Linked DNA regions of Schizosaccharomyces pombe. The protein of the gene in region 2 purifies or fractionates together with the protein of the main gene of each other region. This does not show direct contact. Each region holds a gene or a part of one and is shown on either strand. Other genes may lie near its edges. The genes, in order: nts1, sds3 and png3.

Region 1 (11,436 bases), on a different chromosome or scaffold from region 2:
AAATTATGGGGAGATTACGACTTGGCAATGACAAAGCTTCTTGCGTCTCCCCAATTTCCTCCTCAAAATATAAACGATGTTGGACATGAGCTGTATATTCACTGGTATACGTGTTTCGATGGATACTTACCAGCTCAAGAAAGATCAAATTTAAAATCCAAAGCCGAATTATGGAATGAATGGATGCTTTGGGCGGAGCGTGGTATTGGAATTGGGCCAAAAAATCAAGAGGAGTTACAAACTTACGTTACTTTTTGGTCTAATATTTGGACTCTATTAAGTAGACGTGAAATTTTAGGAGATCAAGCATCTACCTATATAGGTTTTAGGGAGCAAAATATTGAAAAATGGGTCGAACGATCAGGCCGAGAACGTATTTTATCTTAGAAAAAATATAAATATTGCTAAATTAATACATTAATGAAAATATTCACCAACTATATCCTTTTTTTGTAGCACCAAAAAGATTAAAAGTACCTGTATGGAAAATAGAAAAGGTTCATCAACGGTATAACTACCCTATGAGAAAACATGCATCAACCGAAATGTTTTGAGATGTAATATGTACAATGTTAACACTATATTAACAACAAATATTAGACCATTATGTATATGAAACCGCTGTTCACCATAAACAACCGAAAAAAAAATAAAAAGTATGTTAGGAAGAAAAAAGAGACCGCGCTTTTAGTTTTTATTAGTTCAATTACTGGTGCTTAGTTTCGGTTGCGTCGCAAACCCACAGCGAGTTTACCTATGAGGATTTTGAGCTTTCGATAATTTCAATGACAGCACGGATAACCTGTGTAAAAACAGATTGGACCTCAGGATCATTCGGAAAGTCCCCTTGAAGGTTTATGCTAGTGTAGACTTGAGCTTGAAATTTTTTGGAGAGGATCCGAGACATTTGAGTAGAAAGATCGTCAATTGAGCCAGCACCAGTAAGTTTGGTAGTAACGACATCCGATTTACCTGGCATGGAAAGGGCTAAATCACCTGCAGGACATGTTGAAACATTGCTTCCCCATACAAAGATAGAAGAGGATGGATTCAGCTTTATGACTTGTATCCATACTTTTGGTATCATTGCATTCCCAAAATCAAGTTCTTTTTGGATGACTTGAAACATGGTAAAACAATTATTTTTTTTTAAAAATTCAAAGAAAGAGAGGACAAGCAAAGTGTGGCTTTAAAATGTTGGCAAAAATATTATGAATACAACAGTAAAGGTTTTCGAACAAATGGCAAGTTCATGCAAAACCTAATTAATAGGAGAGAAAAAAAAATAAAATGAATTGATGTTCAATAATAAGTTAAATACAAAATAAACGAAGTTTTGGAGAATTACTAGTTATACTCTGAAGACAAGAATGATTTAATAATTTCCACAGAAATAAGGAAAGATACCGTATTACGTTTTTTTTATAAAGACATCGTATTTTTTCTTAAGCAAATTTAACGTAGCGTCGCCTAATTTCACAGTTGTGCTTTGTTTATGCACGGTTGCCCTCCAACTAGTGCTTTGTACGTTTCCTCTACCATAGACCTCATTCTTGCTGCTTCAAAGAGCAAAGAGCTTTACTTTGCAAAATGGCGTTTTTTAACGTATTTAAAGCCGTGTTATGTGCTTATTTTATATCTGTTGTTTTCGGTCATGGCATTACATTGAAACCGCATCAACGAGGTATGTAATTTCAGTGTATTTGTGTTGAGATTCATGGAGTATACAATGCTAATGAAGCAAACTTAGAATGTTTCTATGAAAATTTGAGGAATAATGATCAAATGTCTGTCACTTATCAAACAAACGTTGGTGGTGATCAGCTTGTTTCTATGAGTATCTACAATCCTGCGGGTCAAATTATGCATCAAGAGGTTCCCAACTCTATGGCCCAATATTCTTTCACCGTTAAGAACCCAGGGAAATACATGTATTGTTTCTATAATGTATGTGTTATCTTTTTGTTTTCTGGCATCAAAGCCTGGCATTATGGTCGTCATTTCCCATGTCGTCTAATTGTTTGATGGTTGAGCCGGAAACAGCTAGATGTACAATCTTAACTAACAACATCAATAGGATGCACTCGATGGTGAATCAAAGGAGGTTTTATTCAATGTGCATGGTGTTATATATATCTCTGATGAAGATTTGGATGCTAACAATCCTTTACTCGGCAAGGTCCGCCAACTCCATGATACCATCTCCAAGGTAAAACATGAGCAGGAGTATTTTGTGGCTCGTGAAAGAATACATCGCAATACTGCTGAAAGCACAAATGACCGCGTCAAGTGGTGGAGTATTCTTCAAACCGTTATTCTAGTTTCCGTATGTGTATTCCAAATTTTCTACTTAAAGCGACTTTTCGAAGTAAAGCGTGTTGTATAGTTTATCCGCATAACGTTACTTATTGTTCGCAATAAGTTTTCCGTGCGACTGGACGACGGTCGTAATTTCAAGATTCTGCTTGAGCAGCAAAAAGTATTATAATTGGTCTCTATTTGAAGCTGGCCATCACCGACGACTAAATTTTTTTTAAAAAATTTTATTTCCTGTCGGTTGCTGGCGTTTTCCCTTTCAATCTGAATCTTTAATCTGTCTTTTACTTGTGCAGGTTAATGTTTTCTTTTATGATCTCGCCTGTTCTTTAAAAAAAAAGATTCGTTATGTTTGAAGCAATCATTTAGCAAACGTACGTGTTTTTTAATGAATTTTAAAGTCTTAATTTCTTAAATCATTCTGCACTGTGGGAAACACTGCACTTTAACTTTCACATTTTATGGCATTCCGATCTTTCTAAAGGTACACTTTTTTTATAGACGGTAACATTAACAGTATAACAATTCCCTCATTATACATTTGCTTATAAAACGAATTATTTAGTCTGTAATGCCACTTGTATGTATTACTTATTGCTGTATTCATGGCGATGTTTGTTACCTCCTTCTAATGTTACCTTCAAAGTATCTATGAAAATTCATTTACTACACCAAACTATAACCATTACCATTTATCGTAACTCAATGGCACAAGGAGAATTTAAAAAGAAGAAAAATAGTAGTGCCAACAAGGGCGGACGTGTTACAAAACACTCCAAGAATCCTAAAAAAGGCGGTATGTCAGCTGCAACTGTCAAATATTCGGTGATCTTTGTATGCTAGGGAATTTGGTTTAGGGATGTTTCTTTTAATATTTTAAGCTCATTGAAGTTGTTGGACAACCTTTGTGGTGCTATAAACTCTTCATCTTTTCGTAACTTTAGATACTCATTATAGTAAAATTTTTCATTAAATTTTTTGATACACGTTTCAATCATTTTACTCTTAAGCATACAAGATATCATATTATATGGTTTATCATTCATCATTAATACTCATTACTAACCTTGACTTTTAGCTCGTTATTGTGCCCCTAGAAGAGCAGCTGCTATCAAAGACCATACAATTAATGCGGTATGTTTTAAAATTTACTTTTATATATGTTCTTTTTGCTAATATCTTTAAAGAACATTACAAAAACATTAAATGTTCGCAATGAGAAACTAATTGCCGGAATTGCGTCTCAACAAGTGGGCAAGTTGACAATTACTAAGGCATTAGGTGAAGCTGGTGCCAAGGAGTTAAAGGAGGGAAAGCATTGAGTCGTTTGGTATTTCTTTTTGTGTAACTGTTTTGTTCCTTTTCAAAAGGAGGTAAATGGCTACACTTGATCATACTGCATTTATCGAATTGTAGCATTGGTTTTGGAATTTTATTACTATTATGGTTAAGTATACAGGGAATTCGGTTCATTTTTGATTATTATTTATAAATTAATTTTGTTGGGAAATGAGTAAACGTTATATACAAATATTGTTGTTTGATAATTTTCTTTAAATAATTAGACTCAGTAGTGTTCCAAATAAAAAGCTCGTAATTCTAAGATTAATAATTATGTTCCACAAAAAAAATGCTTTTAAACATTCTTAAGTCCTCGTTCGTTTGTTTCGCGATAAGTTTACAGAAGTAGTTTTCGTTTTGGAGTTCTGTCCTCGCCCAGAATTTGACTCTGCATTTGAAATGGCTTTATTTAAAATTCTCCACTCCTGCTGCCATGTGTCGAGTAATGTTCTAATTCTTTTAATCTTTACTCGTTTTTCTGGAGTATCTTCCGGTGGGTGTTCTCTTTTAAGAAAATCAATCAGCTCTGAAAGCTCTTTCTCTGAATCGGAAGATTCCAATTCTATTCTCTCTTCCGCTTCAACTTTCCCGTCACCGTTAACTTCTAAATCAACTTCTTCTTTAATGCTTTCTTTTTCCGAAGTAGCCGTTGTTCCTTCTACCGGTTTGTGATGGCCACGTAGCATTTCTTCTGTTGCCGCAGTCGCTTTTTCAACATTTTTTCTGCTTTTGTTCTCTTGAATGTCATTAAGTTCTTTCAGCACTTCAGTTGTGTTTGTTGTAGTGCTTTCGGGAACCGGTGATGATTTGGTCGAAGTAGTGGTACTTGTTAAGTAAGAGATTCTAGGTACGATATTTTCTTCAGGGATTTGATCACGTTGAGGGCGTATGTCATAATTGATTTTCTCAACAACGGCTGCAATCTGTTGTTTCAGAATACTCGAAGATTTAACCTCTGATGAAAACCTTTCCATTCGAGGGTTAATAGGCTTTGATACGTTCTCGACATTATCAGCGCTTTCCAAAGCTAAATTAGGAAAAGACATTGGCGTCCCTTGTGTTGATCTCAATGTTGACGAAGTAAATATATCTGAAACGACCAACACTCTTTGGGCCTTCAAAAAAGCCAAAAGAACTGAAGGATTGGACCATAATTCATAAGCATTTCGAAATGATGGATCATAAAATATTTGACTTCCATACTGAATACAGAGATTAGCCACAGCTTTCCGATCACAGGTATGCTGTGATACACGGATTAACCAAGTAGGGTCAACGGCTAGTAAAGTAGCATGCGTGGTATTTGTTTCAACGTCGGTTTCCAAAGAGTCTAAACATTGTATGACAATTTGATTTAAGAAGTTTTTTTCCTCAACGGGAGTGGCCGTTTTTTTCTGTGCTTCAGTGAGAGTAGCATAGGAGTTAAAGTCCTGCACTTTTGAGGTTGAAATGCTAGCGACTGCAGAGTCTCGAACAGGGACGAACGCTGAGTTGGGAGTTAGCCGACAAATGTTTTCTTCTTTGTTGGCAAACCGCAAACTGCGGTATTGTCGGATTAGTACGGGACGCGCATAGGTTTTTCGACTACTAAGATCCTCTGCATCTATTGGAAGTCTTTCATAAGGAACTGCATTAACGGTTAGAAATTTTAATAAAAAAGAAATAAAACATCAAAAAAGAAATCGATTTTTCAAGTGACATTGTAGTAGATTTGAATTTTCAGTCATCATAATTTTTTTATACAATCATTTGCTTTACAGAAAACTGTACGGTTAAATCTCCCAAACATTTTTCCTAGGGAAATAAAAACCCAAGGGCTAAATGTTGAAATCAACCATTCAATTTCGAACAGAAACAACAAAAAATATAATTAACGACCAACGCCACAGTCTCATCCAACCACTCATGCCAAGTCATGAATAGAGTAAAATTTTATATGTTTCTTTGAGAAAATTGAATTGATATAACCTTAGAGTTATAGGCGTGCAAAATGTTTGATAAAAGATCATCAAAATTGCTATCAAGCATACGACGATCAATTGAAAATTCACAATTTTAGAAAAAGCGATAAAAATAAACTTGATTATATCTAATATTCATTCTTACCTAGAGTTAAAAGGCAGTTGTACAAACGACCTCGATCGTCATATTCAAAAATGTTGCGAACGAATGTATCAAGTTCCTCGGTCTGTAGAGGATGGAATGCACTCTGCAAAAATGAAAAGAACTCATCAATATCCGGTTTTTTTTGACACGATTTCACCATTACTCTGTGAGTTTTGAGTCATATATATTAAGTAGATCAATGTTGTCTTCAGTTATTAAGAAACAAATAGCGAGGGTATTGAAAGGAAATATATACCAAAAAAACAAATATTTTAATGAATTCAGTTAATCATGTGTCAATAAATTGTGAATTTAATCTCTATATTATTAACAAATTGATTCAAGTGCTCCGTCGACTGATTCACTGTCTGCAATACTGTTTGGTAGTTTGCAAGTTTCAACGGTAGTCGATTACTAGAACGTAAACATATACTTTACACAATCACTACATGTTAAAACACTTGAAAACAAAAATTCCAATAAGCTTTAATTTCTATTAAAATTTACATCTCTATTGTTTTGACACCAAAAGCGCTAAGGTGAAAGTATACGATAAAATGTAAGTACGGTACAAAAAATACAAAGCAATTCCTCCCGGCACTTTGAGAAGGAATTCATCCTGACGAGAGTCAGAACAAAAAAAGAGAGAGGATCGTGCTTTATTACCAGACGTTCTGATAATCATTACTGAGACATATCAGTGATGCAATCCTTAGTGCTGCAATAATAATTAAAGAATATTTCAAGGAACTAAAGGAATCTTTCTAACTTTGATTATATAAAATAATTTTAATATTCTAGTGATGAAAAGATTATTCCTCGTTCGTTTTTTGGTTTACTATTTCATTTATCACGAATAGTGCTACAACTAATATGTAAACTTTTACGTTTAATACTGATGAATCATGTGAGATGTCGATTGAAATCTTTAAAAGATATTCTTACGTATAACTAACTCTCAACTTCTTTTATAGCCACGGTTGTAATATTTCTATTACATAGGATTCATCTGCATTAGGACAGTTAATTTCAAACAAATGGATACTTCTGTAGTTTTCTGAAATGTCTTCTCGAATTTTTTACCTCTCATTTAAATGAATTATAAGAAGCTAAAGAACAATATAAATTTTTTGTGTAATTGGCAATACTACATTACAGTTAAGCCCCAAGAAGCGAGTAGAGGCACATAGTAGGGGAACTAAAGGCTCCGAAGGCCTTTACTTCAATCTTTAGGTTCATAAAATATATAACTTAAAATAACATGTCTTTTTAAATGGTAATTTATTGAATAAAACCTATTTTCAATTAACAGTGGGAGATGGGAAATTTAGTGTTTAAACATTGATTAACAATGAACTATACGAGGTAACGCAGAATATGTGTTACCCATTCAGCAAATCTTAATTGTTCATGAATCGTGGATAAGCAAGGAATATACGATCCATACATTTTTAAATACGAAGAGAATGTTAGAGAATTTCATCGATGGAAGGTCATTTTACTACTGAGAGGTAACGGTAGAATACTGCTTTTGCATTTTCCAACTTGACAGGGTTCATTCGTCAAAATCGAATATAAAGCGAAATTACAATAATAGCAAGATAGCCGTGGCATACAATTAGGTGTTATTTTATCAATTGGTGAATCTTAATACCAAATAAGAATAATGTGTATTCTGAAAGAGAGGTGCAGGAAAATGCGTATAAAGCAAGAGGAAACAGCAAAAAAAAATTATATTAATTTTGAACAACATCATTTCATCTCAAGATAAATTTGTTCCATTAGTCAATTTTTAAACATCATCAGTTTTGATAGCCCTACGGTCGGCGAATTTGCAACTTTGCATATGACACTTAAATTTAATATTTGGGATAAAAGTAAATATGGCTTGACCTCAAAAGAATGCATTTGAAAATTAACAAAATTGTATGTTTTCGGGGGGTTTTTTTTTTTTTTTTTTTTTTTTTTAAATGATCAGTGAATTTTATAAGGTATCCGATATGATTTTAACCCAGATTCAAAAACAGGAATATTATTTTATTACATTAAATTTTTGAAGCATCAAAGTCGGATATGTTTATTTTTAAACGAAATTGCTTAACAAAAGAAAATATTAAAAAAATAAAGTCTGATCATTAACAAGCTATATGATGTTTACAAAATCTACCAAAAAAAAACACATATATAAATAAAAGAGGAAGAATGAAAATTACATTTCTCGCAGTAAAAATAAAACACTAAAAGAGCTAGTGCGTACAAAACACTCCATAAATATAAAATAAATGAACATACAACAGAAAAACCATGAAATTTTCTTACACCCTTGATATCCTTTCCTACCTACTAAAGTAGATTAACAGTGTAGAAAGAAAGGAGCGATATATAAAGCAAAACGCTATATTTACTTTACGAAGCACCTTTCAAAACGTTACAGTAGCTGTACATTCTGTCAGGTTCCTTTATAAAGTCAGTTGCAAATTGAAATATAACGTAGCCTGTCATTAAGTTGCTTATATGAAATAGAAAAAAAACCTTCACTATCGATATATAGTTAGACAACGCAAGTTAGCACCAGTTGGTAAATTTGTAGCAATAAAAATGTGAATCCGCTACATTGTTTGTATGTTTATTATCGAAATGTATTGCCAATTCTTTAGTTATAGTAGCTTTATCTAGTAGCAAATGGAGGAATGATACCTGATAGAATTCAGCAGCCTTTTACTTTAAAACTGCTGTCCCAAACTCAGACTAGAGATACCAGCTACGACTTTAGGGCTTAATTTGGGCAAAAGAGCATAATGTCATTCATAAAGCATATTGATTGATTAAATAATAACGTATTATTGTTTAGTGACTATAGTTTAAGAACTGTGCGACGATGCATTTGCAGATCTTTCTGACTTGATACATTATGCGTGAGCGCAACTGTTTTACACCTCCAACCAAGTAGGCTAGGCAAGACGACTGACCTTGATATAAAGAATTATTGTTGAAAAAAATCATCACCTTGAATCTTTTTGAGTCATTTTATGCTAAAACATGTCGGCTGCTGGTGGGATAGTTTACGTTATTGTGGGTGGAAACCGTGGCATTGGACTTTCTCTAGTCAAAGAGTTAAGCAATAAGGAAGGAGTAACTGTTTTTGCAAGTGCTCGTGGACCTGGATCTGCCTCTGAACTGAAAGATTGGAGCAAGACCCATTCCAATGTACATATCATCAAGTTAGATGTCACTTCTCTACGAAGTGCCAAAGACGCTGCCATGCAGGTTGAAAAGGTAGTAAAATGTATTGATGTTCTTTGGGTGAATTCGGGGATATCGAAATCCTTCCAACCTGTTTTGAAAACATCAGACGAGCTTTGGATGTCTCATTATCAAACCAATGTGTTAGGTCCTATTCATGTTTACCAAGCTTTTTATCACTTGTTAAAGGAGGGAAAGCTAAAGAATATTGTTTTTACTTCATCAATGGCTGCGTGCATGGGAGGAGTTCGTCCAAACACATACTCGGCTTACGGGCAATCTAAAGCAGCCTTAAATTATACGATGAAAGAAATTAGTTTTGAGTTAGAGAAAGATGGATTCGTTGTAGTTTCTATTCACCCTGGAGTAGTTAACACTGACATGTTTGTTAATGCTATGCAAAAATTAGCCAGCAAATATCCTGAGATGGTAGAATCCATCAAGAGCAATGCCATCTCACCAGAGCAAAGTGCTTCATCTATGCTTAAAATTGTGGATAATTTAAAAACAGAGGATAATGGAATGTTTTATAACCTTGATGGCACAAAACTTCCATTTTAATGGAAGTTCGCCTGTCAATGGTTTACGCAACAAGACACAAAGCAGTGCCAACTTGAATCAATTATCTATAAATTATGAATTGAATACTCTGGTAAGATTTCACTTAATTACTTTACGAAATACTTAAAAAAAAGCTTGAGAATGCACCTTTCAGGCTTATTTGAATTAAAAACATACGAAATAGCGCAGCCAGGTTTAAATTTTGATATCTGTGTTTAATGCTCTCGACAAAGCCTCCTAATCATTTTAAGGACGCTGTAAGCCACGCTGAATGCTTCTCTGCGAGCTGTTCATTCATTATGTGAGTAATAGGGAAACGTGATAGATTAGTATTTACAACTATGCTTGTAAAATAATTTACCACAAAGTTGGGACTTGTCATGGGAGACCTGTGGAATACAAATTCTATTACAATTCATTAATAGAGTTTAAAATTTTGTGAAGAGCCGCTTGACCACGTACTAGTATCCGCTGCGATCTCAGCGGTTGAACATAGGAGCATGTGATGGAGAAAGCACTTGAGTGATTTACTGTAATAGAGTTGAGCGCATTATTTTTGTTAGCACATTTCACTAGAATGCTTTATAGAAGATTACAGATCTTTAGCAAATTTGATGCCATTTGCTGCGATCTCTAGAAACTTCTTCGCACCCGAAAGCGCATCTTAAGGTTTTTCCGGCAGATCTTTTCGGGGGATTGCTCATCGTTACATCAAGGTAACAAATTTGGCCCCGCTGCTACCTGGAGTCTTCCTAGATGTAAACAAAACAAATACCCAAGATGGACAGTAATGAGAGTGATAAATCGTGCACTATGCTTAAACATGCTCGCAAAATGCAATAAACACGATTAATCGTTCAATAACCCGAAATAACGATCAGCCGCGATTTTTAGCCATTAATGCAAATTTCCAAACATTGTTGACTCGAATTGTGGTGCATTTTAAATGCCTTCAACACTTCAAGAAGAGATAATTTGAAGAAAGAAAAGGCAAAAATGAGTTTTTGTAGTTCCTTAGATAATCTGGAATAAGACTAGGACACTTGTAACACTCTTTTAAGCTAAATCCATTCGTTTTGCGTTCAATTTTTCTCCTGTTCATCGAATTTGAGTGAAGAATCTATTAAAAATCACAAAAAAGTTCAATTCATTCTCTTATTTATTGTTTATTTACATGAGCAGATTTCTTTGTGTTTATGTCTGACCCTTCCTACCGCACTGTGGATCCATGCCAACGGTTGCTATCGACGGGGTAAATTGCCGAAGCTCGGTAATTCCCCTTAACTGTGTGACTGTCCGCTACGTTATATATAATGAGCGGACGGGCCAACTCTCGTCTCTCCCCAACTACATTTCAATAGTAGAACTAGGATCAAAATGGCACGTAAATTCTTTGTCGGTGGTAACTTTAAGATGAATGGCTCTTTGGAGTCCATGAAGACTATTATTGAGGGTTTGAACACCACCAAGCTTAACGTTGGTGATGTCGAAACTGTCATCTTCCCTCAAAACATGTACCTCATCACCACCCGCCAACAAGTCAAGAAGGATATTGGCGTTGGTGCCCAAAACGTCTTCGACAAGAAGAACGGTGCCTACACTGGTGAGAACAGTGCTCAATCTTTGATTGATGCTGGTATTACCTACACTTTGACTGGTCACTCCGAGCGTCGTACCATCTTCAAGGAGTCTGACGAGTTCGTTGCCGACAAGACCAAGTTTGCCCTTGAACAAGGTCTTACTGTCGTTGCCTGCATTGGTGAGACTTTGGCCGAGCGTGAGGCTAACGAGACCATCAACGTTGTTGTTCGTCAATTGAACGCCATCGCTGACAAGGTCCAGAACTGGTCCAAGATTGTCATTGCTTAT
Region 2 (10,400 bases):
GTGGAATATGAGTGTCCTGAATCTGGATTTCCTACTCATTGTAATAGAACTCATTGGGAACAGGACAAGATTCACCAATCCCTTATCCCAAAACTACGCCAAATTAATGAAGACTATCATGACTTAGCACGACCAAACCCTTTGCCGGAACTACTCAAACTTCCTGGACCCATGGAAGAAGATGAAGTAGTTTCTCTTCTGTCATGGGATTCATTCTTCTATACCCGCGATTTCCCAAAGTTCCAATCGTCTAGAACTGCTAGACATATTACTAGTTTATTAACATATCCCATGTCAATCGGCGCTATCCTTCACAAGAATTCTCCTTATAATTTAAAAAATGGGTTAACTCCCCAGGGTCTACAATCATTAACTGCTCTACGATATATGCTTCATCGTCCTTTGTCTGCTCAATCTACTGATCCCAGACCCACTAGAATTTTCGTTTTGGGTGCTACCAAAGAATGTTCATTACCACCATCAATTTGGTTACAAGGATTGAACTTTTTGTTCCCAGGTCGTTTATTTCAATTGCATTTTATCGGACCTGAAGTTGTTGTTCCTTCTAAGCAACCCAATTTGCCTTCCCCACTCAGCCTTCATTTTCATCAGGATTACTACCACAATTTGCATAGAGTTGGAGCCTTTGAGCCTTTTGACCCCTACTATGATACTTTTTTTCTTCCGATGCCTCTTATAAGTCATCCACTTTATTCTTCATCGTGGATTCCGACACTTCACGATTTGGTATCGACTCGTTGCTCTGTATGGCTCACAAGTCCTTCATCTCAAAGAACAACCAAAGATTTGGAAGTTCTTAATAATGTTTTGAAAGATTCAATTGAGCCCTTGTTATTGCCAACTGTTAATAAATTTGCCAGCTTAGGCTGGTCTGTTGATGATTCAAACCTTCATGAAGTTTATCACGCAAATCAAGAAGTATTTGGATTCAGAGCCCTTTATTATAATGTCCAAAATGTTTCCAAAGAGTAATTCTTGTCCGTTAAGTCGTCTACCATCTTCCAATTTCATATTCTAATCTAAAAGCAATCTATTAATGAATTTTAAGGTCCAAATTTTGGATTGTGAATAAACAAAATATTAGTATATATGTAATGATTATCAATTACGAATTTTGAAAAGAAGACATGCCACCTTATGTCAAAACAAGCTAACCATACTTATTTTTAAACATTTTCATTACTACTTTAAAGGTGTATCAATAAAATAAATTTATTGGGTGTCAATTCTTTAAATTGGAATGTAATTAAGTAAATAGTAACTATAATTATGGGTTTATAAACGCAATATCAATTTAAATAAAAAGAAGATCAAAAGCAAATGGGTTAATTTAATTAATTCATCACATACAAATGATTATTTAGAATACACACATTCTCATACTAACAATAACTTATATCAGGGATAATCCAGCGATTAATAAAAATTATCCCGATTTATCCTGTTTAGAGGGCCTCTCCAACACGAACATATTGGCCTTGATAAGTGGAAAACTCAAAGTCGGCAGGTGCTTCGAATACCAAAACAACGGTACTTCCGAGTTGAAACCCACCAACTTGTTCGCCACGACTAACTGGCATACCGTCTAAAACAGGAGAAGCGTTCTTGTAAACTGCTTCTTGAAACGTACCTAATGACTTCTTCCGTAAGACGAGGCGATTGGTAGATAAAGTAGGATCACAATTAATGACAATGCTACCCACATTGGTTGCACCTACAGGAATCATACTCATAAATCCATGTTCGTAACGACCCAATAATGCTACGCGTTCATTCAACACAAAAAGGTTGTGTAGTCTTCGCGCCAAAAATGGAGAAACACTAAAGAGTTCACCTGAAAAGTGACGCCTAGATTCAATAACCCAATCAGCAGGAGAGTGAAATCTATGATAGTCACCTGGTGCTAAGTAAATCACAGAGTAAAACAGCTTATTGCCAGGACGGATATTGTGCCAAGGTAATGAGTCAATGTCCGTAACGTCAGCTTCTTGTACCCAATCATCCCAGTTAGTTGGTTCGTGTTCAAGAATTGAAGCAGGAGCAGATTCAAAATCACTAGATGACTCACTCCTCAAGTCATCGTCACCTCCAAGGTTATTCAGATCGAAATTGCTTGAGGGAGAGAGTCGTTTTCCGCATGAGCTACGAACGGAATTTGAAATATCTTCAAAGGCAGAAAAGGGACAGAAATAATTTAAGGAATTACGAGAGTCATTAAGATAAAAATGCGGATGGTCAGTAAAAGCACAAAGAAGTGCTTCCTCGTCAGAATGTTCATCCACAACGGCAGCTGAAGCATCAGCTTTACGATAGCGGTTATTAGAATTTAAGGAAATTGAGTGTTGTTCAGCAAATTGCTCGTGCTTTTGAATAAGATCAGGAGTTATTTCATCCTCAAAGTTGACGACTAAAGGATTCGAACTTGATATACCTCCTAAAAGAGCTTCAAGAGAGTAAGAAAGACCTTTGACATGCTGAATTCGATTATTATCGACAACTCCCTGACAAACGATACGGCCATCTACCGGTGATACGACAGGAGAAACAGGATCAACGGGTCTAGTCTCTGGACGAAGCTCACGGCAAAAGAAATCTTGAAAATTACGGTAATGAGTCAAATCAGGATCCTTCAATTCGCTTAAATTGCATCCAAAAACCCAAGCATATAGTTTAAATCCGGGTGTACGCAAAAAAGTAGGTAAATGAGCTCTGTTAAATTGTCCCCAGACACGAGAAAGGCTCCTTAATGGAAGAGAGCTTAATAAATATACCTGCCAGGAACCATTAGGACGGACACTTATAGAAAGGCGCCCCAAGCGGCGACTCCTGCGAATGCGATGGATACGATTTGAGATCCATTTTAATCTCATGGAAACGCGTACGTTCATTCCATTTAGGGCCTTAACACCTTTCAAAGCGCCGACACCACCGAAGCCTCGAAGGTTAACTTTTGACCAACGAGGATGAAAACGACGAAATCTTTGACGAGGACGCATGTTTGATCGGTATAAATTTCCTTAGTTAGGTATGCTAAATCTAAAATTGAAAACTTGTAAAAAAAATATAAAAAGTACCTAGAAGTTTAAGTACCTTCGATGTCTATTTGGAAAATCCAGAGATGTGGAACTAAGCGAATAAATGTAGAGGTTGTGCTTCCAAGGAAAAATGTGAGTTTAAGTTTTAAAGTCAAGTCTTGTTGCAAACAAATAAAGGAATAGTAGACAAACAAAACTTCGCGGAAGACTTAAGCGAGGAACGGGATAAAGATATAAAAAGGAATATTTTCTTTTGCAAAAGGTTACCAAAAAGACAGAGTATAAGGGTGTTGATATACTCGTAGATTGTTGATGGATCGATTATTGCAAATGAAGAACAGAAGTTTATAAAATTCGTACTAAGGGTTTTAGTACATAAAACTTCTACAAACAATGATGTACAAGATTAAGATATGCTGTTAAGCTGGGGGAAGCGAAAAATATCAAGAAGCAAAGCAAATATTACAAACTTAAGAAATTAGCTGAAGTGTCTATTTCAAAAATGAACCGTTGTATAAATGAGTGAAATTGAAAGAAGGAAAGGCAATGAATAAAAGGAATGAATAAGCGATGATGGTACACAAACCACAAACAATGCACACAGTTTAGTTTCAACGAGAGAGAAAGAGAGGGGTTAAACAAAATGAGAAAAATAAGGAAGCGACAAAGAAAATTGTCTAGCTGATAAGATGGAGTAAAAGCGAAAGGTTATTAAAAAGAAAACTTAGGCAAAGTCCACATTAAACATGAATTTAATAAAGTTGAATAGGATACAGTTCAAAACTGCAACTTGGAAATAGTCAATCTGAAGATTGATTTGGAAAACTAACTACTTCCCTTGTTTTCCTTCAACTATTAAATCCTTCGTGAAGCGATAAATACTGCAAAATTGAATTTTATGTCGACTTTCTTGAATTGCTGATAAATTGGCTAAGGGCACAGCAATATTGTCAGTAGACTGAGAGATCTCCTTATGGGGGGATCGCGAGGAAACATGGGGTGGCGCGGGGTATCCTTTATAACGTGATATACAAGATACCAGTATATTGAATAGCGAACTTTAATTATTCTACAGATATGGACTATAAATAGATGAATGCGGTGCGTAAAAGCAGAAATGTGGGTTAGTCGATTTTGGATATATTTATTACAAATGAATTCAAGTTAAGGATCAACTAGATCAATCACTAGTATGTAATTAAGGACATTTATCCATTCTAAAACATATAACAAGCAAGTAAAAATACAGTAAGGATAATGGTAAACAAACGATAAACTTTTGAGAAAACGATATGTAAATTGAGGACTTGTTCTCAGTAAGCATTCCCTTGCAATATGAATTAAATCATTATTTCAGGTTAGAGGACATTAGGACAAATCATGATAACGATGAGTATCAAGGATTGTTCAACCAATCATCGAAATATTCATTTTTCATAAAGTAAGTTATTTCTTCTTAGCAAGTTCCTTTTTCAACAATTGTAAATCGGATTGAATGTCTTCCTCGGTAGCACCGCTTAAGCCCTTTTCCACGGCTTTTTCACGATCTCTTTCAGCACGCTCGGAGGCTCGGGGATCTCGTTCACGACCGTTCGTAGGGTTAGCGTTTGCCATAGAGAGAAGAGGAGAGAATAAAGAGGCTTCGGCTGAAGTAGGTTTCACGGAATTTACTGAGTTGCGAACGGCATTCTTCACGGATTGTGGGATAACTGCAGTTTCATCGGTGGGAAATAATAAGTAGTCATCAAAAAAATTTAAAGAAGGTAATTGTTGTGTATTTTGTTGATTTCCCGCATTACGACGATGCCGAAGCTTACGACGATCAATGAACTGAGAAGAGGCATCATGGAGCAGTAGGGTCGAGGATTCACTCCCAATGTCAAACATATCCTTTGCTTCGTAAATTTTTCTCTTTTTCTCATTCAAATGGGAAAGCACCATTTCTTTTAAAGTTTTACAACGATATTCGTACTCCTCCTTGGCTGCTTTCATCTCCACTTCGTATTCCTCTTGTGCCCGATTCACCAAAAACGTTCTCCAACGCTCTGCAATTTCCAATTCCTCATCTCTACTCCTTCTAAGTTCATCTGCCAAATCTAAAAGAGTTTTACAAGTTCCGTTACGAATAGATTCCAATTCAGCTTCCAGTTCTGCTTTTTTGGCTCGGAACTCACTAGCTGTAAGTGGATTGTTCAATAAAGGATCCAGTTCTTCTTTTTCATTGTCAAAGACTCTCGAAAGGACGTCCATGACGCTTTAACTCTTTTACCACCTATTTGTTCGTGACAAAACAATTTTGTCCTTCTTCCAGCTACTGACGAAGGATTTTAAGGGTAAGGGTAAGATTCTCCGAATACGAAATAAAGTTATCTAAACGAGAAAAGTTGTGCTAATAATTATCAGATGAACAACGGTTTACAATAATTCTTCAAAATGGATCATACATCTACTACCATTTATATATGTTACAACAAAATAGAAGACACAGATGGTTATTAAGTTTTCATTGTCAAAAAAAAACATGGAAATGACATACAATGTTTTTTAAAAGATGCTATCGTAACCTTATCAAGGCACCAAAATTACTGCTACAAGGACTTTTTTCAACATTGCTTAAGAGCCTCTATTTCATGCAAGATAATTTTTGAAAGCAATCATGCTTCTAGTAATTTCATAACACATCATCAAATGTACCCAAATACTACAGATTGATCCTTCGGACGCGGAACGTATACCACTTGTCCTAGATTATCCCAAAGAAAAGATCATAAACCCATAAGCATGAAAGAAGTCATAAAAAACAGGTTTGTCGCTATTAATTATGCGCAACTTTTTCTTCGGTTTCTGAAATAGTAGCTGCTGCTCTGGCCTCTCTGGGACTTATCAGCCTGCCAACAGCTTGATATTTTTGGTCAAAAAATGCTTTCCAATCGTTTAGAGCCTGCCTCTCCTCATCGTTTAAATCACTGCAATCATCCAATTCTTCTGCATCTGAATCAGGAATAAATTCATCGTCAAAACTATTTTTTGCTAAACCACGACTGGCATCATGACCGGCAAAAGCACTATAAGGGCCTTGTGGACCATAAAATTTTGATCCCATTGTAACGTTGTACACAGTTCCCTTGATAGCAAGAAAAACCAATGAATTTTTGGAGCCATTATATTCCTTCAGTTCTGCTGGAGTATAATCTCTCCATTCGGGCTGTTTTGGCTCTTCGCTTGCAATAAAAGATTTCTCATTCTTCCTTCTCCAGCGAGTGATTAGCAAATAAAGAAATAAGGTTACTATAAAAACAACTTGTGTAGATGCCATGGTGTTGGTTTATGGAAGAATCAACTGGTCGCATGATTCTCTCAAAACCTTCGCACTACCTGCTTAGAAGAATACGTACGATAGTTTTGTTACCATGGTACATTACTATATACGGACGGTTATAGAGAATATGTTTATTGCAGTCTCGTTTTCTGCACACATAAACTGTTTAAAAGGCACTGTAATAAAGCATAAGTTAAAAATTTTGGTTAGTTATGTAATTATATATCAATGATTATGTTGCTCATATATACGCACAGAATGGAACATAGCATATCTTATTTACTATGACAAGAATCTTACAAAAGGTTACAATACTCTTTATGCATGTATAGTCTGCGTAATGGTGTTTTGATTTATTCAACAAAGCGAGAAATCGTAGTCGCACGACATTTTTTTAGTAAAAAAAACAAAATTTCTCAACAGCATAGTTATCCAGGCATACACGAACAATGTTTAAACAAACTGCTGTTCAGAACTTGTTTCTCGTTTCACAACTATTGGTTCAAAGAGCTGGGTTTAATAGAATATTGAGCCTTCTGGCTCGTGTTCATCATGGTAGCAGCATGAGTCGAACGCATGCCTATATCATTTGAAATAGTATGCTTCCACTCGTACAAAATGCAAACCTTTCAAGACTATGATTAAAAGTGCTTTATATATAACTAGCAATATATCAGTATCATTACGATTTAAATTTATCCTTTTTTTAAACCAACTAGTTTACTTGCTTTGTGTGCTAGATTACCAACTAGTATCTCACTACTCTCCAACATTATTTCCGTTTCAGTAGAATTATCGATTGATATCAAAGTTTTATTTAAATATGGTAAAACAAGTCTTAGTTTATATCATCAAGCTAATCACGTTCATCCTATAAAGCTACCTAGCAACTACATTAATATGTTGTAGCCTACCGACTCACTGCAATTTCACAAAGTTGAAGAATGCAGTAAAGAGTACTAAGATGACTACATGCCAAAAGAGGCAATAGTCTTCGCACAATCATTGGCACTTGCAAACGTGGAAATTTCTTTTGCAAGCAATTTGACTTGTGTGCGTTGGGTAGGCTATAAACTAAGGAAAATGCAACCTTTATTATTTCCATCCGGTACTACGAAGCAGTCACATTAACCTAACCTGAAGCGAATGAACAGAATAAGAAAATTCTGATAATCTAACAGTCGTTATGGGATTAGTTACTAGAATTAAGCATTCGATTTAGCAAACAAGATCCCAACTATTCGGAATCGGCTCTCCTGAAATCCAAGGTCATTTTGCTACCATTAATTCTCTCGGTAAACCATTATGAATCAGAAATAACGCTCATGCTGATGGACTATAGAATATAGCAGCAAGCATTGTTCTACATAATCGAGGGTTTGTTTTTGTTAAAGAAGCTTATGTATTTGACTAGTAGTAGAAAGGAACCTTTTTATCTCCGTTAATAATAATTATTAAAGTAAACAAATACCATTAATCGAGTAAATAAATATACAAAATATACTTGAACGATCGGCTATTTACAGGAGCTGTAAGATTAAATTGAATATAAAATAATATTTCTTATGGAAAAATTGTTCGGCTAGTTTAGTGTAAATATTCACCGAAGGCTTATATACAGTGTCTATATGATGATGGTTGGTAATTTTTCTTGACAATTTGTTGTGTAAGTATGACTTGACTAGCCTAAGAAAATCGTTTGATTTTATTGACCATCTTACATATCCAAGTGTAATGAAATTTGCAGCTGTTGTCAAGCGGTAGATGTGAATGTATCGTAAGACCGGTAATTTTTAAAAAAAAAAAAAAAAAAAAAAAGAAGAAAAACAGGTCAGTCATTATTTCCTCCAATGTACAGTCATACCAAGAAATCATACAAGTGTTGCCCTTCTTCTTTGATGAATTATTTTGCCGAATAAAATCAATAAACACCGATGGTACAAGTAAACAAAGATTCGGCGAGGAAGTGAAGCCGATGAAGAGTGTAATTAAAGGACGGTAGTAGGTGATTGAGGGTTTTTTTATTATTGAAGAATTTTGGTAGTATAGCTTTATTTATTAAGATAAAAAAATTATTAATTCAAATTTAAAAACTTTTTGAAGCTGATAACGTTGTTTACTGTTTTTAGTCTACAAAATTAATCAATGTTTAATAGTATATGTAAACATCATCCACAGTCGTGAATCAAATCTCCAGTATTCTTTCATGAAATCAAAAAAAATATCTTACAAATAATTAAAAGAATATGCTGCTACACATTCAATGCTTTCTTGAATCCTTTAATAACACCGATCTATTACGTTTTTAGCCTACTCCAACCCAACCCCCGAAGTCACCAGATCATTTACTGTTGTTATATTCCTTTTCGTTATTTAGTTTAGCGCAGCAAACCGGATGTTGTATAAGCAATTTACGATGATTACCATTCTACTACCACATAAAAAGCAATGCCCTCGCTGTTTCTCTAATTGCCCGGTCCATCAACAAGCGATTAGCCCATTCTAGAAACGAAACAATCTTAACACTGAGGCTGGAGAAAAGTTTTAGAAAGTGTTGAATTTTCGATTTTTTACATTGTAATCCTATTCCTTTTCTCTTTCTCTTTTTCCCGCTTCACTTATTACACTTTAAAAGCCTACGCTAACAAGAAAGAGAAAAAGGGCGATAATCTCGTGTATTTGGGTTAAGTGCGTAGGTCTTTTCCTTTTAATAACTTTCTCTTTACGAAAGAAGTCTTAACTGGTATTCATAAACCTTTAATATTTCTCTGTGCCTGGCGTATGTTGGTTGCAGTTTCCGTTAATACTTGCGTAAAATATTTCTTCTAATTGTATCCGGTAAATCCCTTTCCTGTGTGTAGAACACCTAAAATCTTTCTGTTTCTCATTCCGTTATTTTTTTTAAAGCTCTCTTCTCTCTTTTCCTTATTGTCATTAACTGTTGAATTATTCGGTTTATTGTAAGCTTTCTCATTATGGCATTGTTTCGGCGTCCAAATTGGTCCGCTTTATTTGAAAAAATCTTTATTCAAAAGGTATGTCTATTTTTTCCAGCTTTTTTCGATGTTTTAATCATGTATTTGTCATTTGCTCTTTTCTATTTTGATTTGTACTAATTCATTAGTCTTTCCTCGGGTTTTGTAGTCTTCGTGTTGGTTGCGAGATTATCATATGGTTTGCTATCATCAACAAAGTTTCTGGTCTTTACGGCATTGTATCCCTTTTTCAAAACTCCGACGCGTCGCCATGGCAGGTTCTCATGTATGTATCATCGGTTTTGATGCTCATTCTTTTTTCTTGGTTGGCTATTCACATCCCCAAATCAAGCGTTCCTCATGCACTAATTCTCTTCTATGTGTATTTAATTGATTTTCTTTTGAACGTCCTCTTCACTGTTTTATTTGCACTTTCTTGGTTTTCGAAACTCGTTCAATCCGATTCTTCTAGTACTGAAGAATCAGCCGATTCCGATCCTTCACCAAGTTTGTTGTATCTATTTTTTCAGGCAGAGTCCATTCCCTCGTTGTTGCTTCTTATTTTCTTTGCCTCTCTTAAGTTTTATTTTGTTTTGATAACGCTTTCTTACTCTAATAAACTTATCGTTGATTCGGGAATTCGCCCGCAAAATCTTCCTCCTAATTTTTCTGGCCGGGTTACTCGCTTGCTAATGAAACCTTACATTATGGCTGCCAATCGTTCTTATTTACGCAATCACACAAAACGATTCACTGATAGTATCGAACTCGAACAACGACTCATGGATGAAGTCGTGTAATCATCTAAGAAGACATTCAGTCAGTGAAATTGTACTTTCTAGTGTTGTAAGAATTCTTTGTTCTTTGGTTTTGTTCATTCTTATTTTCATTTCATTTATTTCATTCGAGGTTGCTGGTTTCACCTTATCTTTAATTTCAGTTTCATACTAAAATTTAATACAAATCTACAATGGATAATTTTTTCGACATTAATTTGACAAGTACAAACGGATTTTATTGTGAGATTGTTTCAATCATTAAGTATTCTTC
Region 3 (10,088 bases), 630 kb from region 2:
TATCCAAATTTAATACTTGAGCTAGACACAGTTTTATTGGGATCATACAGAACTGATACCTTGAAAGAAAGTAAAAAAAAAAGTTATATATAATATACAGAGAAGCGATAAATTGAAAAATTGTAAAAACAAGCATTTAAAACAAAAGAGAGAAATTATGGGACATTAATTAATTGAACATCAGTTTATAACATACTATATTCGTGTCATAAAACGAATTTTAATAAATAATAAAATCTATAAAGACATAAAAACATTAGATTTTGGCCTATGAGCACAGTAATCTAAAAACAGTTTTGATTGTCTTTTGAATCTATAAACCAAAACAAAAGTTTTTTAATTCAAGAGTTGTATAAACAGAAAAAGAGCCATATCCAGCATTTCAATGTTCATTTTTTCCAGCCTTTATGAAGAAAGAACATTAAGTCCAATAAAGAATATATCAATATATCATTAACCTCTATATGGAAAAACAGAAACAATTACCTTTTACAAGCACAATTGAGTTTCCAAAGACATTATCAAACCTAAGCAGGAGGATAAGACATTCGTCTTTGATACTCCGAGATTGACGTATCAATAGAAGTGAGCGTACAGGATACCAACTAATCCTAGTTAATAATCAAAATCTCTACAAAAAAAACTTACCTCATAAACCAGTTTTGGATCAACGTTTTGTTCCTGAGCCTGGCTCGCAATTGCCTCCACCCTTTTTTTCGAATTTAACAGAGCATTCTGAAGGGGGGCCATCGCCTTCTTGTCCGGGAAAGTTGTATTCAACAAGGCATTCCAAAATTGATGCAAAAATTCTATCGTAACGGTATGGCACAAAACAATTTCATTTTTTATGTCAATAGGTAAATTTGATGCAGTGCCGTGGGTCTCAAACTCATGCTTTTCGCGCATACTCTGAGTAAGCTGCATAGCGGCTTCAGCCAAAGAGTCAGAATCATGTTCAATGTGATTTAAGCTTATCGAATCTTCCTGGTATAAATGTTGAAGAGCTTCCAATGAAGGCAAAGGCTCTAAACCAACTTGATTTTTTGAGGGGACAAAATTATTTTCCAATAACTGATCTTGACCTTTGATTTTTAAGACAACTTTAGAGTCACTGGCTTCTTCTTCTAAATCGTGAAAACCAGATTCTTTTAAGTATGTTTCTTCATTTTCGTTGTTAAATCGTTTAGAGTTTCTACAAGTTGTTAGGCATACCGAAGCAATAACAATTAATAAAACCGAATATACATACCCCAAACTTTTTTCCAAAAGTCTTTCCGAAAGCTGATTGATGTTTTTCATAAACGGTAGAGCTTCTTTGTCAATTCGCATAGTGATATCAGGTCTAAGTTCTGCTATTACATTTGCATTTTGATCATTTCCTTCTAAATCAAAGAGGTGCGATGCAATAGGTTCATCCGATACTTTGGTTACCTCTTGAAAATGTTAGAAATGGAATTCATCTAGGTTGGAGAAATTACCTTCATTATCTTTTAAATACTTATCCATTATATCATCAGAGGGATCCATTGGTGTAATTCTGTCGCCACGAAGCTTTTTACAAAGCTTGGAAAGGAAAAATCTACTCCAAAACTCTCCTTCTGCTAGAGGAGGCACATGCTTGTCATATACCTTTCGGAGCAATGGATGTTGTTCAAACATATCGTGAATTTGCTGGCCGGTAAGGGAAACTTTCATTTGGTTGTCCACTGTTTTAGGTTTAATAGTAGACAAGACATTATAAGGACCACGCTGCTGAGACCTTTCTACAGCATGAGCGCGGAGCAAATGAAGCCTTGTGCTCCAAAATTGCTCATTACTTAAATGTCCCTTCATAACTGCTTCCTTAAATGTTTGTAAGAGATCGGGATTGTTAGTAAGCAAAGACTCTTGTAAGTCGATGTCCTTTTCTAGATTCGTAGAATTTACACGATCGACATTGGCTCCTTGTGGTTTAGATTGAGAGCCTTCCCTTTGTCTTTGTATCGCATTTCTCAACTCATTAGTAATCATATCACAATTTTCTCTGGCATTAGGAGTACCGGTGAAATGAAATACTAAAGAAGTGGGATCTTCACCTTCCTTTACTACTATAAAAACACGAATCATAACTTTTGGATTAGACGCTGGAGTAGTTTGAAGATCTATCAATCTGTCAGTAATCTCGAAAATGCAACAATTATTATTACTCGAAATTGCATCAAAAGCAATATCTACTGATGGTGTTGTTTTCCCTTCCCCCGTCCATTTTAATCTACTATCGATAGATAATACGCCTGCATGTTAGAATCATTGATTTAATTGTTATTTTACCTTGTTTTTTTCTGAATATGGCTAATGCTTCTACCCTGTCTCCCATCAGATATTTTGGTAGTTGTGGAATACACCGCTAGTCTTTTACGAAATTATCAAGATTTGTTAGACACAGGATGAACATTGGAAACTACGAAAATCATTAGAAAAATAAAAGTTTTGAATGGTTTCTTGATGTCCCAAATCATATACACTTAGATTTTGGGTAAATATATCCTCATTAAGTTGAGCTATGAACATAGGTAACCTATAAGAGACAGTTATCTAAAACTATAGCCCTGTTTTATTTTTAAAAAAATACAATATGAATTAATCATATACGCAATCAATCCGACCCTTCAGAGCAGTAGACAAGAGTGGTTGTTGTTCCATAAAGTACAATGCGTTTATCCCAGGTAATACGATATATCTCAGCCAAAGAGAAAGAACCAACATGTGAAAAGTAATAAACTATCACTACTAAAAGTTCAAAAGATTCGTAATGTCCGCCAAAAAACTGATAGTGGCTACAAATAGAATTTGTAGAGTAATTCAAATGTCTAAATACGTTCCTTTCTAACATAATTCCTGGTAGTATTATCAAGTAATTGTTTCCAAAACATGCAAACTCTTTAAACGTAGCATTAAGTATGAAAGAAGTTACCTCCATTCGAATCAGTATGGAAAGACATGAGTTTATATATGTTTTCAAAGTGACTTCTGTTGAATGACTAGAATTTAGTAGCTAATCCCGGATAAACTATTATTAGTGTATTTCAATTAGAAAAACAAAAAAGCAAGAATTTTAATAATATAAGGCTTTACGTAAGTTTCAAGATTTATTGTAAGAAGAAACGTTTGCACTGCTCTCTGAAGAATAGGGAGAGAATTGTTTGATGTCGAGGTCTTCATTTGTGGTCTCGGTTAATTCCTCTGTCTCTGGTAGTTTACCAGAATCCGTGATTATTTGCTTTTTATCTCCTTCCTCCGATGCGTTTTCAGCTGCTAGCAATTCTTTAGCACGGCGATTCCTTAAATTGGCTCTCCGCCGGGATGCTCTAATAGGTCTCGAAGTTTTTTGCTCTTTTATAACCTCTGGAGTGAAAGGAATAAAAAAATTTGGTAATTTCATTTCCATCTTTTGATAACAGTGTTCTAAACGTAAAACATTACTATGAGTAATTGCCTCTGCATACATTGCAATGTGGGATTTTTTTCGAGTTTGTACATCATCGGATTTTAACAGTAATGATAAGTTTCGAGCGACTAAATTACGACGTTCAACACTAGTATCTCTGTTAAGAAGGTCATCAATTGAAGAAAGAGCTTGTGAATACACATCTGAACATGTTAATCATTTTAAATCAGAAAAAGGCAAGCTCTAGATAGGCAAGTTTTGATAAGAACAACATAAACTTATTATAAGCCTCAGTAGCGTTCAAGTCCTTTTGAATAACATATTCAAGGTTCAAACAAGTCCTAAGCAGATTGATTAAACATTAACAAAGAAAATCAACACCAGAACGGTTTCACTAGTAATCTTTCATTTTTTTGTTTATTATCAAAACCTTCACAGTTGTTCAAGCAAAAAATCCCAATCTATAATGCCACTATCACTTACCCTTTAGTTCAGCCTCTAAAAAACGGACTTCCGTAAAATTTTTGGATAAATCACCCGGTATAGCTTCCAATGCTAAATAATGTAAGAAAATTATTTATTTACACATGTTCATTTATTACCGTCAGCAAGTTGTATAAGAAGATCCAAGTCATTTTCCTTTTTTGGTTTTGCCATGGCTGACGACTTGTCGATTATATACAGCTATTCATGAGGATTCTTTCTAGTTTGACTTTTATTACTTGCCCAAGGTTAGCATTGCTTTTTGCTTCCTTTTGTTTACGTCTGTAATATAAGTGCAATCGAACCAAAGAATCTCGGTTTTCCACTTATAAGGCTTGCTTCAAAGCTTTTTCAAAACTTTATTTTATATAGCTGTTCTCCAAAACACACCTAGCTTCTTTTACTTGAGTATGAACTATTGTACCTAGTTGGTAGTGGTCGTTCATGAAATGCGTTAAACTAGGAAAATATCGTCCCGAAGAAATACGGGATCCTCATGGGTCAGTGATCAGTTTTTATAATAAAGTAAAAAATTCAAGTCATTTTAAAGTATGTTCATTTCAAAAGGTTGCTTGCATTTTAGTCAATGGCCAATCCGTCAGCTTAATTAAGCACATTCATGTTTTCATACGCTTGCTTGGCACCTCTGGTTCTTTTAAGAATACAAAATTATTTTTTTAGTGATGGTCCCAGTTTATTCAAAACTATCTCCTTCTAAATGGGCTGAGAATCTGAGAACTTCCTGAATGGTACCCCCAGAATATACTAAATACATGCTTGTTAATTGTTTTTTTTAAACCGACGGGAAGAAAAGGGCAGAAACAGAATACAACATAAATTGTTATTATATTATAAAATATGCGGTTCTTGGAATCATATTAAAATCTTATCCTAGAAGTATACAACGCGAGACCGACAAGTAATTGCATAGAAACATAGCTCTTAAAGAATCGATTTTGTAAGACACTTGACCAATTGTAAAAGAAAACGAATTCCTAAAATGAAAAGTTTTCAATTCAATTTTTGCATGTTCAAATTCATGTATAATTTCACCATGCAGGCTTCAAGAGTGAGTGAATATTCTATTTTAAATTAATGCTATTTTTCTAGCTGAATAAATCCATTAATAAAATTGCTCATTTTATCATTATTTATTAGGATTCATTTTAATCGTATTGATCCGTATCTATTACCAGTAATTAAAATGAAAGTTCTTACGTAGTTCATCTAAAAATTATTTATTTTTCACTTAAATTTAAAAACTTCTCAAAAATAATAAAGGATTTGGTGTTACTAACATTACAGACCTCAGGTATTCTATTTCTACTAACACCATGCCAAGTCGTTTAGAGCCATTACCAAGTATTGATGTTTAATGCATGTATTACTACTTAGAAATTGAATGTGAGTCTCCTGTAAAAGATATTTTTACCTGTAATAAAAGGAGAGCATCTAAAGTTGTTGGTAATTCTTTTGGAGGCGATCATTTTAATTTTCGATTGGGTGAAATAAAGTTATTATCAATGGATTTTCCATCTTCTAAAGTTCCTGAGGTTGAGGAGACATCTCTTGGACATGGCGTCGTTCATTTATACAGGGTATTTCCTTCAGAAAGCCATGAATTTGATGCGCCAGGTCTAATCCTTGCGATATTGGCAATTCCCTTATATATGTCGCCCTCCGATGTATTGGGTTTTTTGGGAGAGAAACATTGCAAGTCAATCCAGCATATACGTCTTCTTAAGACGAAAGATCCAAATCGGATCATGGCGCTGTTGAAATTCAAGGATCAAGCAAGTGTTATTAGGTTCTATACAGAGTTCAATGGCAAAGCTTTTAGCCAAATAGATCCTGAAACTTGCCACGTTTTACATATTGACAAAGTAAATATAAAATATCCAATGGAGAGCTCTGATTCTTCTTCAACTGAGCAGCAACTAGTAGGCCCTTCCTCCAAACCTTTTGCTTCTACGACTCCTGCCCTTATCGAGCTTCCTACATGCGTTGTATGTTTAGAACGTATGGATTCTTCAATTACTGGTTTAATTACCATTGTGTGCCAGCATACTTTTCACTGTCCATGCTTGCAAAAATGGGGAAATTCATCATGTCCTGTATGTCGTTATACTCAAAAAGTACAGAGTTCTGAATTTCAGAGCAAATGCACTGTATGCTGTTATGATAAAGATTTATGGATTTGCTTGATTTGTGGTAACATTGGATGTGGCAGATACCACGATGCACATGCTAAGCAACATTATGTAGACACCGCTCATTGTTATGCTATGGAACTTGAAACACAACGTGTTTGGGATTACGCTGGAGATAATTATGTTCATCGCCTATTGCAGTCTGAAACAGATGGTAAATTGGTAGAATTGTCGACAGACGGAAAGTCTTCAGGCTGGACTGGTTCCAGCGCTACGGAATCAAAACTGCGGGACAAGATGGGACTAGAGTATACGCAGATTTTGGTATCACAACTAGAGTCGCAGCGCCTTTATTACGAATCTCATCTTTCTAATATGTCTCAAAAGTTGAGCCGTGTTAATGAAGAACTCGTCTTAAAGACCAAAATAGCTACGGCCTCTTCAAATGCAAATACAGATCTTCGTTCTCGCGTGGATATTTCTGAATCCAAATTAAAGAAAAGAGACGACAAGCTTAAGCGTGTCTCGTCTCAATTAGAGCATTTGAAGCATAATTATGAAGAAGAAAAAAGTATGAATGAAAATTTGCTGGTTCGCATTCAGACATTGGAAAAGCAAAATACAACAAAGAGCGATCAGATCGTTTCAATGCAATTTCAAATTAATGATCTTAATGAGCAACTTAGAGACCTTATGTTTACTATTTCTGCGTCGCAGGAGATTCAAAAAATGGGCCAATCCGAAGAATTACAGAATGGAACCATCGTTCTTCCTAATAACTCTACGGTCAGGTCTAATTCTGTTAAAAGTAAGAAGAAGAAGAAAAAAAAACCAGTCGTTCCCAGCAGTTCTGGTTCACTAGGTACAGACTGATATATTTTTACTACACATTTACGAGAATAACGTTTCATTTTTTCAATTTATGTTTGCATATAAAATAAAAATATTTATTCTTTTTGTTCTTATTACTTTTGTAAAAGTCAAAGCTGTTTCAGCTGGTTTTGGTAGTCCCTTTTTCAACAATAGTAAGAATCTCGCGCTTATTTCAATTGTCAACCATCAATTTCGAACAAGTTTAAATTTACGAGGAATGAGGAACAAGTGCATACATTTTCACAGGAAACAATTCTTCAGGAAAGCCATGTTGCAGAGTTTCTGCTACAACTACTAGGTTTGCCTTTTTAAACAGGGACTTCAGAGACTGTTCACAACGTGTTACGCTACTATCAATAGGATCAAAGGTGTCCTCAAAAGATGAAACATTTTCCTAAGAAGTCAGTTTTTTCCTACTCACATATGGGATACGAACCTTTACGCAAATGACTCCCTTCTCTTGAATTGCTTCACAACAGCGGCTAAGATAGGCAATCAAATCCTCATCTGTGAGATGGGACAAACACCATTGGTTCCAAATCAGCCCTAAATTTGTTAAAATTTGTTAAGATGACAAGCAAAGAAGTGGATCCTAGAGATTAAGCCTCATCTTGGACAAAATAAAAGCATCTAACTGATATACATACCATAACGGTTTTTTTCTGGAGTCCAATTTTGTAATCCGACATTTATGAAAGAGCAAGGCTTGGTTGCAAGCTGTTTTTTTGCCGTGGATATGAAATTTTCAACAGGTTCCACAAGATCGACATGAGAGGCTATCTTCAAAAGCACATTTTCAGTGACCCTTCCTATACCTGCACCACAATCAGCGGCCACTAAGTTTTCGATTTTTCCTATACGATAATTGAGACGATTGAGAAAAGTTCGTGATCCCACTACATCAGTTTGAGGAATCTGTAGAATGTTAATAATACAAATTATTTAAATAAATAGTCTTAAAAAAAGATAGAGATGTAACAGTAAGTTGAGATTGAGTCTTTTGAACGTTTACACCCGTTTTCTAAAAATATAATTCTCTTGGTAAATTTTCTTTTACATACACGACCAGTTCCCAGCCCTCCAAGCATTCCATCTACAGTTGGTTGAACTCCATTCCAATAGCTATTAAATTAGCCAAATTCTGTAAGCTTTCACATACTCAATCGCATCGCTATAAAATTTCTCGGGGTCCATTCTTTCTAGCCAGAACCATGCAGACTGAACAACCACCAAAAGAGTCACAGACCGAAAATACCGTGTCAGAACCGCAAGAAAAAGCTCTGCGGACGGTTTTTGATGACAAAATAAATTTTAATTTGAAGCATCCTCTTGCTAGACCATGGACTTTGTGGTTTTTAATGCCACCTACTCCTGGCTTGGAATGGAATGAACTGCAAAAGAACATAATTACTTTTAATAGCGTAGAAGAGTTTTGGGGGTAAGTAAATTGCTTATTCATTATTGTGATATTATAAATTGCTTTAACATTACTAACATTCGATTCAGAATCCATAACAATATCAATCCTGCATCTAGCTTGCCTATTAAGTCTGATTATTCTTTTTTCCGTGAAGGAGTTCGTCCAGAATGGGAAGACGTCCATAATAAGACTGGAGGTAAATGGGCTTTTCAGAATAAAGGCCGTGGAGGAAACGCTTTAGATGAGATGTGGTTAACTACGGTAGGTTTGATTGTTTTTAATGCTATGAGAAAAAGGTTTTTTGTAATATTTTTATTTTAAGTGAATACTAAAAACAGTTTTTTCACTCTTTTCTTTACTTTTTAATTTTTGGTTCGCAGCTAATATATCGCTAGGTTCTCGCGGCCATCGGTGAAACTCTCGATCCTACAGGCCAAGAAGTAATGGGTGTAGTTATTAACATGCGTAAAGGATTTTACCGTCTAGCAGTTTGGACCAAGAGTTGCAACAATCGTGAAGTGCTTATGGAAATTGGTACTCGTTTTAAGCAAGTTCTCAACTTACCCCGATCGGAAACTATAGAATTTAGCGCTCATGAAGATTCTTCCAAGTCTGGTAGCACTCGCGCCAAAACTCGCATGAGTGTTTAAATGATAAAAACGCTCTTTGTTTACAAAATAACTTTGGAGTTTAAAAGGTCCATGCTGCATAGCTAATTTGCTTATAATTGAAGAAAGGGAATTATTAATTAGCAATATACATATATTTGTGCGTATTGGGTGTATATTCCCAGGGTTTAAAAAAAGTTGATTTGAATTAATTTGTTTTACATTACTTTTCAATAGTATTGTATTATCATTACAGCGGAAGTACAAAAAACGACCTTATTGAATGGGTGGATAATTTTCGAATGTAGGAGTGCTGATGAGTTGCAGATGTCTTATCTGCTTTTCTGTAGGTAAAAGCATGTGAGCTAAAAAGTGGTCGAGGAATGAGATGGGAGAGACTGTCTAATCAAAAATCGTTTAGTTTTCCTTTTACATAATAATATTGAAAAAACGAGCGTTGGTGTCCCTTCTCTTCAATTGTTTGCATAATCGTAATACAGTATTCAAATTAGCAATGAGGATTCTTTCGGTGCTTTTAAATGTGACAATTCTGGTAATTATTTACTTTATATTCAAACACTTATCCATTTTGTTAAAAGGTTTGTTTGCTTCTTGTACTTAACTTTGAATCTATATGATGATTTTGTAAATAGTGTATTGAGAGAGAAGGAGAGTCAAAATTGCTTTAATTATTGCAAAAAAGTGTCTTACAAATTCAGCTATGCCACCATAAAACTAAGAATTTATTGCTCTAAAAAAGAAGCATTCCCTTGGCGAAAAAATATTGGGGAAAATCTACCAAGGGGCCAATTTCTTGTTAGACTTTTGTTAGCCCTCCTTCTTAAGTTCTTTCAATTTCCCTAATAATTGAATGGTATTATTTCTACCAGTTTACTACTTATTTTAATTTTGTTGTACAAATCATAGATATTATTTTACACAGTTTTATAATAGTGAAATCCGTTAGTATTTTTTCTAAGTATTATTTTTTATTATTATAATGGATAAATATTACTATATAACTTTTTAGCTAGGAAATAAAAATACTCATATTTTAACATCAAGGTGGTATAGCGCTTTCAAGCAATTTGTGCTAAATGACATTAGTATCGTAGAGAAAAGTTAAG

What was found.
Region 1: the proteins of sds3 (region 2) and nts1 purify together in Schizosaccharomyces pombe (affinity purification with western blotting; one study listed by BioGRID). This does not show direct contact.
Region 3: the proteins of sds3 (region 2) and png3 purify together in Schizosaccharomyces pombe (affinity purification with western blotting; one study listed by BioGRID). This does not show direct contact.

Annotation. Positions count from the first base shown.
Region 1 is NC_003421.2:929,001-940,436, forward strand, and holds nts1 (protein Nts1), read right to left. Parts: upstream 6,156-11,436; 5' UTR 5,924-6,155; coding exon 5,764-5,923; exon of another isoform or gene 5,695-5,763; intron 5,285-5,694; coding exon 3,963-5,284; 3' UTR 3,737-3,962; downstream 1-3,736. Other genes in the region: swt1 (RNA endoribonuclease), read left to right, coding at 1-387; proteasome assembly chaperone Pac4, read right to left, coding at 755-1,129; COPII-coated vesicle-associated protein Emp24, read left to right, coding at 1,591-1,684, 1,751-1,947, 2,078-2,386; SPOM_SPCC24B10.18 (uncharacterized protein), read left to right, coding at 3,022-3,112, 3,395-3,450, 3,504-3,638; SPOM_SPCC24B10.20 (dehydrogenase), read left to right, coding at 8,803-9,567; tpi1 (triosephosphate isomerase), read left to right, coding at 10,945-11,436.
Region 2 is NC_003424.3:4,151,445-4,161,844, reverse strand, and holds sds3 (Clr6 and Rpd3L histone deacetylase complex subunit Sds3), read right to left. Parts: upstream 5,341-10,400; 5' UTR 5,307-5,340; coding exon 4,503-5,306; 3' UTR 4,119-4,502; downstream 1-4,118. Other genes in the region: splicing suppressor Mss51, read left to right, coding at 1-993; phosphatidylserine decarboxylase Psd2, read right to left, coding at 1,467-3,017; cytochrome P450 regulator Dap1, read right to left, coding at 5,872-6,372; inositol phoshorylceramide synthase regulatory subunit Kei1, read left to right, coding at 9,351-9,410, 9,500-10,150. UniProt on the Schizosaccharomyces pombe protein: Component of the clr6 histone deacetylase complex I responsible for the deacetylation of lysine residues on the N-terminal part of the core histones (H2A, H2B, H3 and H4).
Region 3 is NC_003424.3:3,520,015-3,530,102, forward strand, and holds png3 (protein Png3), read right to left. Parts: upstream 4,351-10,088; 5' UTR 4,191-4,350; exon of another isoform or gene 4,149-4,190; 5' UTR 4,085-4,148; coding exon 4,030-4,084; exon of another isoform or gene 3,983-4,029; coding exon 3,911-3,982; intron 3,631-3,910; coding exon 3,122-3,630; downstream 1-3,121. Other genes in the region: transcription factor TFIIH complex subunit Tfb1, read right to left, coding at 528-605, 649-1,192, 1,250-1,433, 1,479-2,141, 2,187-2,273, 2,311-2,356; SPOM_SPAC16E8.18 (uncharacterized protein), read right to left, coding at 2,636-2,959; SPOM_SPAC16E8.13 (ubiquitin-protein ligase E3), read left to right, coding at 5,290-6,933; AdoMet-dependent proline dimethyltransferase tae1, read right to left, coding at 7,142-7,327, 7,370-7,479, 7,581-7,848, 7,995-8,055, 8,093-8,127; translation initiation factor eIF4E tif45, read left to right, coding at 8,145-8,371, 8,440-8,614, 8,749-9,003.